Linked DNA regions of Macaca mulatta. The protein of the gene in region 2 interacts with the protein of the main gene of each other region in a pairwise test. Links are inferred from orthologs where the notes say so. Each region holds a gene or a part of one and is shown on either strand. Other genes may lie near its edges. The genes, in order: RNF144B, UBE2U and TRIM32.

The links.
Region 1: the proteins of UBE2U (region 2) and RNF144B interact in a two-hybrid assay, tested with the Homo sapiens proteins (2 studies listed by BioGRID and IntAct). The link is inferred for Macaca mulatta from reciprocal best matches to the Homo sapiens genes UBE2U and RNF144B.
Region 3: the proteins of UBE2U (region 2) and TRIM32 interact in binary tests that used the Homo sapiens proteins (3 or more experiments, as listed by UniProt). The link is inferred for Macaca mulatta from reciprocal best matches to the Homo sapiens genes UBE2U and TRIM32.

The regions. Positions count from the first base shown.
Region 1 is NC_133409.1:164,627,890-164,631,538, forward strand, and holds part of RNF144B (E3 ubiquitin-protein ligase RNF144B), read right to left. Parts: intron 899-3,649; coding exon 694-898; intron 1-693.
Region 2 is NC_133406.1:176,364,845-176,369,149, reverse strand, and holds the end of UBE2U (ubiquitin-conjugating enzyme E2 U), read left to right. Parts: intron 1-3,391; coding exon 3,392-3,576; 3' UTR 3,577-3,746; downstream 3,747-4,305. UniProt on the Homo sapiens protein: Catalyzes the covalent attachment of ubiquitin to other proteins.
Region 3 is NC_133420.1:41,594,634-41,598,720, forward strand, and holds the start of TRIM32 (E3 ubiquitin-protein ligase TRIM32), read right to left. Parts: upstream 2,848-4,087; 5' UTR 2,767-2,847; coding exon 805-2,766; 3' UTR 1-804. UniProt on the Homo sapiens protein: E3 ubiquitin ligase that plays a role in various biological processes including neural stem cell differentiation, innate immunity, inflammatory resonse and autophagy.

The DNA.
Region 1 (3,649 bases), on a different chromosome or scaffold from region 2:
GCAGGAGAATCGCTTGGACTCAGGAGGCGGTGGTTGCAGTGAGCCAAGATCATGCCACTGCCCTCCAGCCTAGGCAACAGAGCAAGACTCTGTCTCAAAAACAAAACAAAACAAAACAAAAACCCCACTGTACTAAAAAGGTACAGATTTAATTGCTTCCTATCACAACAAAATCTCAACCTTTACAGAGCATAAAGTATCACGAGAGAACCCTCCTTTCTATGTGCTGAAATAATTTAGGACCATTGTTTCTATTCCTGCATTCTTTCTAATATGACTGTCACACATCATGAGCTGGCAATTTAGTCAGCTAAGAAAATTTCTGTCTCATTTTGCAAGCAACAAGAATAATATATCCCAATACAGGCAGATACGGCATCTGAGCAAATGGCTGGGACAAGTCACAATTTCCTACTGAGAACCAGTAGACCACAGTGCCTTGCTACCTAAAGAGAAAGCAAAACTCATACAAACTTTAATTCCAGCAATATCTGGAAGATTCCTCTGGGGCGAACAACTAGAAATGCTTTTGTATTGGCAACTTACCAATTCTGAGACACTTCTACGGGAAGTTCTGCAAGAAAACAACCAATCTCTAAACGCCATCACAACGTAATTCCTTCTACATGTAACGTATGTTGAGTTTCTAAGAAAACTAGTGAATAATCCCAAAGACAAAGTTTCCTTTCTTACCTGTGCTCTGTTGGCAGGACAACAGGCTGATTGTCTCTACAGGAGACCTCTGCATGCCAAGCATCCTTGCAACACGAGCAGAATTTCAGGTGGCAAGAAGGGCATTCCACCAGCACAGGCTGTCCTGGGTCACTCGATGCAACAGGGCACACTGTCTGACAGTCTGCAACAGGACACCATGTTCGGTAGGGGTCCAGATGAACTTCTAAAGTGTAAAGAAAGAAAATGTGATGGTCTGCCCGATTCACGTTTGAGTCTTTCTCACCTTCATTTGCCCTTTTATTTATATAATGTATTTGGAACCACAGTCTCACTGTGTTGCCCAGGCTGGAGTGCAGTGGCACGATTTCAGCTCACTGCAACCTCCCCCGCCCGGGTTCAACCGATTCTCCTGCCTCAGCCTCCCAAATAGCTGGGACTACAGGTGCACACCACCATGCTTGGCTAATTTTTGTATTTTTAGTAAAGACGGGTTTCATCATGTTGGCCAGGCTGATCTCGAATTCCTGACCTCAAGTGATATGCCTACCTTGGCCTCCCAAAGTGCTGAGATTACAGGCATGAGCCACCGCACTTGCCCCATTTACTCTCTTTTTTAAACTGACGTTTATAGAAGTATAAGACTCTTAGTCTTCATAATGGATCCAAACCTATCATTTACAAGGTCGCTAAGCCCTGCCACATTTCTCCAAGTAGGTACTAATGGAATAGTTCACCATTGCCTTTATGAACAGATAAAAAGTGTTCTCTATAAACAAAATTCACAAAACTTTTAGAATATTTCCCACTTTTGAGCATGTAAAATAGGCAAAAATCCCAAATCCCTTCTACAATTATTTGGGCACTATCCTGGAAGAGAATTGAACATAAAAAGCAAATTTTTAATAAGGCATTTTTCCAAAAAGACTTTGTCCTTTCAGGCACTGAGAAACAGGTAGTGAGATTTCTTCCACATTCCCAGGAAATTAAAGAACAAGGAAGAAAATAATCAAATAGTTGAGGGACCAAACAGTATTTCGTGTGGCTTAGCCAAGAAGTCGGATTACCTGTCAGTTTGGATATTCTGCTTCCCCACCAATACGCAAGTTAGGAACAATGTGTAAAAGACCCACGTGTTCTAGAAACAAAAGGTAGAGACTTTCACAGACCATTATAATAGCCAGTCATAACACATAGGCTAGTTCCATATGACATGCAGGAAAGAAGGTAGAGCTGGAGAATAGACAGCCATTTATTCAAGGATTTGAAAGTCTTGCTTGGTATCTCTTTTTTACTCAGTAGCAGACCCCACGTTCTTTCCATATACTGTGACCTTTAAGGGAACATACCATGTAAAAAAATGTTATTTGAGGGGTAGAGTACCCCTTTTTTCTCTGGACTCATGTATTTTGCAAATTTTGAACTGACGAGATTCTAGTTTTAAACCTCCTAGGGCTCATGATTTCATGATTCCTAGAAATGTACACACATGAGGCAAACAAATCCAAAGGATGGTGCAAAAAGAAAATAAAGGTATTAAGTAGGAATTTAGTTTCGAAAGTCAATAATTTTACACATTCAATATCAGGGAGAAAGTCTGAAATGTTCTGGTAAACTACTGTCTCCACTGATGTCTTGCCTAGAAATGAAATAATTGGATCTATCTTTTATTATTATTATTATTATACTTTAAGTTCTAGGGTACATGTGCATAACGTGCAGGTTTGTTACATATGTATACTTGTGCCATGTTGGTGTGCTGCACCCATCAACTCGTCATTTACATCAGGTATAACTCCCAATGCAATCCCTCCCCCCTCCCCCCTCCCCATGATAGGCCCCGGTGTGTGATGTTCCCCTTCCCGAGTCCAAGTGATCTCATTGTTCAGTTCCCACCTATGAGTGAGAACATGCGGTGTTTGGTTTTCTGTTCTTGTGATAGTTTGCTAAGAATGATGGTTTCCAGCTGCATCCATGTCCCTACAAAGGACACAAACTCATCCTTTTTTATGGCTGCATAGTATTCCATGGTGTATATGTGCCACATTTTCTTAATCCAGTCTGTCACTGATGGACATTTGGGTTGTTATAAGTTTTCCTTCAAAAATTGTATCCTTAAACATATGGTCTTATCTAGGAATTCTGGAGGGTGGGGGTCAAAGAACAATGAGCCTTTCACACAAATGCAATCACAAGGAGGAAAATCCTGTAATTCACAGATGCTCAGACCCCAACAGAGATGGACCCTCCAAGATCCCTAAAACCTTAAGAAGTCAAGGAAACAGTGGCACACATAGGATCTAAGGTCTTGGTCTTTTATTTCTACACCATTTAATATTTTCTTCCAAACTATGACAACCGCTTCACAAATACTAAGCCCAAAGAAATGAAGGTTAGTATGTAACTGAGAGTGAGACTCCCATATCAAATATCTACTTAGCATCCCTTCTAAATCAGAGGTCTTTTAAAAGTTTGATGAAAAAGAAGGAAAACGGAAAGGAAAGTTAAAACACATATTACTGTTAAAATGTATAGCATCCCTAGTGATCACCTTAAAAAGATACAAGGATGCAACTTGTTCTCGTAGCTCTAATCAATTAAAACTACTTGGTACAAGTTCTGACTTGTTTCTATCAGCTTATTATTTCAGGTATCTGGGGTGACAAAATGGAAGCACAGACAATAAATAAAGGAGCAATGATAGGTTTTGATGAATTACTAAAAAGAAAGTAAGCAGTGCAGCTATGGTGCAGTGCAGCTATGGCACAGTCCAATGAAAGCAAGGAAAGAGTTTGGCCAACAGAAAACAGTGACCTTCTGTATTTTTCACTATTATGACAGCACATAAAGGACCATGCAAAGGAGTGTAGAAAAAGAAAAATGGGGAAAACATTACAGTTTTCTACACAATTCCTTCATTAGAAGTCCTTATTCCTTAGGAATGGGTTACAGAGCTTAACTAAGAGCAATAGTGGAG
Region 2 (4,305 bases):
GTGTGACTCAGAAAAGGAAAGAACCGTGTGCCCCTCTTTTGCAAAAAAGGATGGCATGTCATAGTTTGCCAATGGGAGAAACTCACCAGAGATTTGGCAGGTGGGAGGGAAGTCAAGGCCATTATGCTTGGGAAGTTGTTCATATCAGGCATGGTGGGTTCCTCAGATACGGCATTTTCACACGTCTCTCCACAGCCTCACTTCACAGACACGGTGGCTGCACAGACATCCCCATGAACTCCTCGTTTTTGTCGCAATTTGGGTGGCTAAATGTGTGCAGCTTCTTGTACTCCATGAGCTTCTGGTTTCCCACTCATGTCAGTGCATCAGGATCATGACTGTTTTTTCAATTCTCCAGCTGTAGCTTCCAGATCTTCACTCCCCTGGGTCCTCCCACACCTGGATAATCCCAAATTCCTGTGTTAGATTCTCACTCTTGTGTTACTTGTAGTGGCTCTGTTTTCCTAACTGAATCCAGACTGAAAACAGGACTGAATAGAGATAAACCATTTGTTAATCATCAGAGCCCATCAGTCAGCACAGGTTTTACTATCTTTACTAGCTAACCTATTTTCAGATTAAAAAATAAATTATCAGAGGCAGAGTTTCCGTGATCCAACCCAAGAAAGGCATGGAAAATATAAGGCAGTTAGAATTTGTGCTTCCATAACTTATTTTGTTAACATAGTAACAAAATCCCCTCCTTTATTACTGATTCCAACCACCAAATCCAAGGTGTCTCAGAGGGATTTATAAAGCTTAAGATTTCCTGGAGAAGAAATTCAAAATAATCTTTTTTTTATGTTCTAAAGAAACATTTCTATATTTATTTCGCATTATACTCTGCTGATCTAGCCAGGTTTCTTTTTATGCTTCCTGGGAGATTTTAACAGGGCAGGAACTAAGAGGGCAAATAGTCAAGGTGGTTGATTCCCAACTTTCATTCCACGCCAGCAACTCATGTCAGCCAATCATGGTGATCTCATTTCCCTTACCAGTAACTAGTTTAGAGATGGGGTGGGGTGCAGTAGCTCACACCTGTAATCCCAACACTTTGGGAGGCCAAGGTGGGCAGATCACCTGAGATCAGGAGTTAGAGACCAGCCTAGCCAACATGATAAAACCCCATCCCTACTAAAAATAATAATAATAATTAATTAATTAATGTTTAAAAAATAGCTGGGTGTAGTGGTGAACTCCTGTAGTCCCAGTTACTTGGGAGGCTGAGGTGGGAGAATCACTTGATCCCAGGAGGCGGAGGTTGCAGTGAGCTAAGAGCCCGCCACTGCACTCCAGCCTGGGCAACAGGAGTGAAACCCTGCCTCAAAAAGAATAAAATTAAATTAAAATAAAAGAAAGGGCATGTGACAGGATCCTGCTTGAGGGGAAATATGCTGGGTGCTTCAGGGGATGGTTTTCCCATCCACTCTTAAAAATGAGCTCTTGGTGAGAAGTCCGCTTTTTCCTCTGGATGTTGCTGTGCCCGGTGTGGTTACTAGAATGGCTGTAGCTCTCTTGCTGTGCACTGTGAAGATGAAGACAACACCTCAGTTAGCAAAGCAAGCAGTGAAAAGAATTGTGTCCTTCGTGACATTGTGGAGTCACCGCAATATTCAATCCTGCCCTCCACTCTGGCTTTTATCTTATGTGAGATAAAACATTCTCCTATTGTTTAAACTGGGTTGACTTGGCTCTATATTTCTTGTAATCAAAAGCATGTGGAATCAGAAAGGCCCAAACATGGTTAGAAAGAACTGGAGTTAGTCCATCAATAATATGTTCATGGAAAATAAAGGAGATGCTTTTCTCAAGGCACAGACAGAATTTAGTTTTAAATTAGTTACAACTAAATATTAGCATCGAAAGTATGAAAATTAAAAATCACTGGGGGCCTCAGGATACCCATAGGATAATGGTGACTGTGTAAACTCAAATCTCTCTATGTATCTTTCTCTCTTTGTTTTGTTTTGAGATGGAGTCTCACTCTGTCACCCAGGCTGGAGTGCAGTGGGTCAATCTCAGCTCACTGCAACCTCTGCCTTCTGAGTTCAAACGATTCTCCTGCCTCAGCCTCCAGAACAGCTGAGATTACAGGCTCCTGCCACCACACCCGGCTAATTTTCGTATTTTAGTAGAGACAGGGTTTCACCATGTTGGCCAGGCTGGTCTCGAACCCCTGACCTCAAGTGATCCACCTGCCTTGGCTTCCCAAAATGCTGGGATTACAGGTGGAAGCCACCATGCCTGGCCTCTCTGTGTATCTTTCTATAAACCAAAGAGAGAAGGAAAACAAGTCACTTGTAGCCTATGTCTATAACATTAGAAGACAACAAGTATTATAGGGTTTATTTCATATGTAAGTGAGGGAAATAAACATATAAGGCAAACAAAATTTGTCCTGGAATCCATAATCGGCAGTGAATCTGGTGACAGCTAGGAAAAAGGGGAGAGAATGCAGTGAGGTTTTAGAGTTAACAGAACATAAATAGCACCAGCTAGAGTTCATCCCCAGAAAGCGAGGTCCCCATGCTGTGTGGAAATATAGATCTAGAAATATAGACATTATATCTATATTCTTCTTTTGAAAAGTATAATCAGTTTATTTCCCTGTTTGCAAGGCCTGTAAGATAAAGATGAAAGTCCTTTGCATGACATGTGAGGCTTTCCTGATCTGGCTTCAGCCTCCCTTCCAGCTCCACGAAACTTTCTGTATACTATAACATTGTGGTTTTGGATAGACAGATCTGGGACGAGTCTTGTTATTAGCTGGATATCTTTGGTTAAGTTACTATAGGTCATTCAGCCTTAGTTTCCTCATCTGTAAAATAAGAATACTAATACCTGCCCATCACAAGGGTTGTGTCTGAGTTAAATAATATTATAGCTGTCGACTGCTGAGCACCGCACCTGGCACAGTGGAAGTGCGGGAGAATCCACTCTGATCACACCTAACCCTGTCAAGTCCTCTCATACCTTTGTGCTTATATGATGCATGCTGTTTCTTCTAACATGTTCTGACCTCCCTTCTCTGTCTAACAAACTGCTCCTCCTGTTTCAAAGCCCGAGTCTGTTTTCACTTAGACATAGTGATTCCCTCCCTGTGCTCCCAAAGCAGCTTTTCCCTTGCACATCAACCGGCCGTTAGCAGGGACCCAGTAAATATATATGTTAAATGAATGAACTAACAAAGCATCAAAAGATTGAGCAAGATGGAAGAATGATTTATGACAAATAAAGTTACTTATAAAACATGAAGTTTAGAAAGTGTAAAAAAGGTTGCTCGCATTCATTCAGATGGTCTTTGGCATTATCCTACAAATGCAGGAACACTCTTTTCATTGTTTTTCCTGTATGTCTATTAAATTTCTGTTTTTTATAGTTCCCACCACAGATGAAATTTTTCTTGAGTCACCAACTGCAATAAATAGCATCACAAACATTTACGAAACAGAAGAGGAGGGGTGGAAGAGTGACACTTCATTATATGAAAATAACACAGATGAGCCCTGGGAAGAGGAAGTGGAAGATCTAATCTCCTGGATCAACACTCTCAATACAAATACTTTAGAAGATTAAGCAGAACATTATCAGGTTAAAAAACTGAACAGCCTCCACCATAGCCCAGTGTTGTGGAGCAATTTTGGAAGACTCTCAGAACTTGGATTTCATTTTTTTCAGGCTGTTCTCACCCGCTCACTGCAAGTACAAGCAAGTACAAATTAGAAATATAAGTACAAATCAGTAAAGATGTTGCTTTGACTTTCTTTAGAACTAAGTTACCGAAGTTAGGGATGTTCATTGCCATATGCCAATCAATGGTGTGACACTCCCACAGTTTTTAGGCTACTGGACACAAGTTTTTGCAGGCAGAGAATGGGTCAGAAAGAGGCTGGGATAGGAGGGGAGCAATTAAGAGCTTCAGAGGCTGGACATGACCTCAAATAGCAGGATCTATACATGGACCTACATCTGCCTGCTTTCTTGTCTTGTTTCCTCCATATTCAAGGAATGAGATGTCACTATTTACTAATGTTTCTCTTCTGTTTTATCCCAGAGTACATGGGAACATATCTGTCACCCCAAAAGTTTCCCCTGCTTCATGGTAATACGTCTCTCCTGCTCCTATTTCCTGCCCTTACTTTTCATAAGATCAGTCAGTATCACTGATCTGCTTTCTGTCACTGCAGATTAGTGTGCAATTTCTAGTTTTATATAAACTAGACCTTCTATCTCCTTGTATTCTTATAACTTTATTTTCTCTGTCTCTTTTTGCCATGTTGTCTCAACCTATACGTATGCTTGGGT
Region 3 (4,087 bases), on a different chromosome or scaffold from region 2:
AGACTATCCAAGTTTGCTGACTATATCAGCATTTGTTTGCTTATTCCTAGCTTCCTATGCTTTGGCATAATTCCAATCCATATTATGCTTCTTTAAAAGGCAAGCAATTTCCAGGCTGAAGTCGTCAATACCAACCAACTAGGGTCAATCCATTCTGTCACATCTGCAGTTCTCAATCCAAGATGGCACAGATCCTCCAGGCGAGAGGTACTGCTTCCTAAAGGGCCTGTGTATCCCCTTTGGTAGCACTAAATGAATGAGCTTTCACACTGGTAAAGACGATCAGACTGAGACATAATGTTACAGGAATATGTCTGAAATGTCACTGAAAGGTGGAGCATATCCCACTGAAGCATGCACAGTGAATCCAATCAGAGTTGAAGAGAAAGTGTCACAGATGAAGCACATTGTAATAGGAAGGAAACAATGGATCAAGGGCATCAGAGCCAAACGGGAAAAAATCAAGGATTTAATACAAGGGCACATTTCAAACATGGCACAAAGGGCTAAAGTGGCTCTCTCTACTAAAGCCTTGGAAGTGCCTAATTGCTAATCAAACTTCAGCTAACACCATTGCGTGTCCTATTTGGGCAGTGCATCTTTTAAAGCTCTAAATTTAGGTGGGAAGTGGGGAGGGGAAAATAACAAATAAAAAACATAAAAAGATGGAGCTTCTAAAGTTCTAGAACTACCCAGCTGGAATCAGGACATATGCCGAGTCTATTCTCTATGTGCCACTAACAACCAAGAACTATGGGAAGGGAAGCTGGCTTGGGAGCAGAAGAAAATGATATTTCTCATCCCCTATGGGGTGGAGTATCTTCTCAGATGGTAGCTGTAGATCTTGATGCAATGATCCCAACAGTCCAAGACCAGCAGCTGCCCCTTAGGAGTGAGGGCTATGCCCACCGGACAAGTAAGTCCCTCTCGAATAAGGACACTATAGCCCCCACCCTTAGGAAAATGGAGAATTTCCTTGCGACTACTGTCAGCCACAATGAGATCACCACGAGCATCCACACACATGCCAGCAATGCAGCGGAAATCCTCATTCTCCGAGAAGAAGTGGCTAATCTGGCGACCCAGCTGCCCATCGGGACCTACAGAACCAATGGAAAAGCCACCTTCCAGGTGGTGCTCATTCTGTCGATTCTCCAGATTGAGGCCTAAGCCCTGGGTGAAGTAGACGGTGCCCTCAGCATCACAGGTGACAAATTTGGGCCGCACAGCACTGCACAGGCAGCTGTATTTGACCACCCCTGATCCTCGATCAACTGTGAAACACCAAAGCTTTCCACCTTCCACATCAGTTACTACAAACTGGCCAGATGGCAGGGCTGTGATACCCCATGGTTTGCTCAGCTGGCTCCTGTGACAGGCCACACAGTGGCCATCCAAGGTATATACCTTGAGGGAGTTATCATAGCTGTCAGTCACACCAATCAGCCCCTGGCAGTTCATTGCCACTGAGAGAGGAGTGAGGTTGGGTAGATCCGCCCCAAGAAAGCTTAGCACAAAGCTATCAATGCCACTGGGGCTGCGGCGGATTTCCTTCAAAAAGCCTTTGCGGGTAAAGACTTGTATACGATAGTTACCACGGTCAGCAACTAGCACTTCACCTTGACTGGTCACGTAGAGACTGACTGGTAGATTGAACATTCCTGGAGTGCTGCCTTTGGCCCCCATCTTCTTGAGAAAGAGGCACTGCTGGATATTGGAGGCTGCCTCAGGACCCCGCTGTTTAGCAGGTGAGGCCCTAGGGCTGGCAACCACTTCCTCCGGGCTCATGTCCATCTCTCTAAATGTAACAGAGGTAGAAGCAGCAGAGGCTGCCGCCTCCATGGCCCAGGAATCTTCCATGTTAACTGTCCGGGGCTTCTTAACAGCTTGCCCAATTTGGAGGGGGCCAACATGACCTACCTTAAGGAGCTCCACATCTTGCAGGGTGAGCTCCCGAGGTAAGCTGGCAGTAAGCTCTGGCTCCTCCTCATCAGCTGTCTCCTCCAGGAGTGCTACATCTGCTTGCTTGATCTTGGCCAGGAAGTAGTCACAGCGAGACACAGCCTGCACCTCTGCAATGTTAAGAAGGTAACTCTGCTCCTCTACCACTTGACTATTGGACTTCTCAACTTCAGCCAAAGAGCCTGTGAAGAATTTCCGAGAGCGAGCCAGCTCATCCTGGACCCTGCGTTCCTCGTGTCCATACTCCTGGAGAACTGCTTTATACCTTGCCTGAAGGTCCTTGGAGACACCTTCCAAGGCTACCTTCCGCCGCTGCAGCTCCCCCATAAGTTCCCGCAGACGAGTCAACTTCTCTCCAAAGTCCCGACGCCGCTCCTCAGCGGCTTCTTTGACAGGGAGTGTACAGTGGCCAGGAGGCTGATGGTCTGCCTCCCGGCAGGGCTCACATAACACCAAACCACAGCTCCGGCAGAACTGCCGGGGCAGACGCCGCCCACAGGACCGACACATGAGCAGCCCCACAGCCTCGCTGAGCCCAGCTGTATCAATGATCTTTAGCACTGTCAGATTGTCTGTCAGCTGGGTCAAGCTGGTTATGCGGGTAATCTTGCTGCAAAAGGGACAGCGGACACCATTGATGCTACTGGCCAATAGCTTCTCCAGGCACTGGCGGCAGATGGTATGGCCACAGTGCAGGAGCTTGGGACGCAGCTGCTCTTCTGTGAAGGACTCCATGCAGATGGGGCATTCTAGCACTTCCCGGAGGGCATCCAGGTTCAGGTGAGAAGCTGCTGCTGCAGCCATTGCTATTCCTTTGAAGGGTACTGCTAGCACAGCTCAGAACTGAACAGCACAGTATTCATGCCCTAGAGGGTAAAATTCCTGCTAAAGAGAAAAAGAAACCATTATTCATTTTCCTCTGATTATATAAATCAATTCACTCAAGAAACATTTAGAGAATAGCTATGATCAGTCGTTCAGTCATTCACTTACTTAACTATTTTATTGAGGTCTATTATGTGTCATGTGAGGGTGACAGGGAAACAAACAAGACAAAACACTGCATAGAGGGTAATAATTCAGATTCTGGAATCTCAGACACTTACTTAGTTGCATGACCATAAGGAAGTAACTCAAACTTCCAAAAGCTCTTTCCCCATCACTCATCTGTAAAATAGAAAAATGGTGTCTACCTTATTCTATTATTGTAGAACAATCTATTATTGTAGAATAATGGTTATTGTAAGGGCTAAATAACAAGATAAATATGATGTGCTTAGTATATAGCACCAGGGAAGTAGTATACTTTAATAAATGCTAATGATTACTTTCATATTTGGTGAGTTTTACAACTTACAGTTTACACTAACAGAAAAGCACAGGAGAATTACGCACAGTAAAAGGAGTAAGTGTGACATGCAGGTCCACATAATGTTCTGCTGGAGTACAGTGGATGGAATGATAGATTCCACCTAACAGACTTGGGGAAGGCTTCCCAAAAGCAGTTTCACTCCTAAGATAAAGAAATGAAGGACTGAGGGATAAAGGTACTTTAAGCAAAGAAAACCATGTAAGCAAAAGTGTGGAGGCTGTTTTTTTTTTTTTCATCATGTCATAGAGTTTACTGTGTCATGTTTGGGGCCCTAGGAATCATCCACAGACTTAGAAAATTGTGATGATTAGCTTTAGGTAATCTGCAAAACATTAGATCAGAAAATACACATTTTCCATGCATCTATCCTCCTACCTACTCATCTATCCACCCATCTAAGTTTAGGTATCTTGTTCTGTACTAGATACAAGAGGTCTTCAGGATACAGATCCTGCTCTTCAGATATTCAAACTTTATAAAAGACAAGACATGTAGGCAAATAATAATGAAGGCAGAAAGTAGTACTATAAATGAAATAAAAACTAAGTTTGATGGGGGTTGAGGAGTCATTCTAATTTGAAGGGACACAGAATTTTCAAAAGGAAGATGACATTTTATATTGGCCTGGAAAGAAGCATAAACACACGGAGAGGGAAGAAAGGAGGCGGCAAAAGGCACAACCTTAACAAAGTTTAAAAGGCAAAGGAAAGGACAAGAAGTTTCATGTATTAGGAAGAAAACAGAGAATATTTA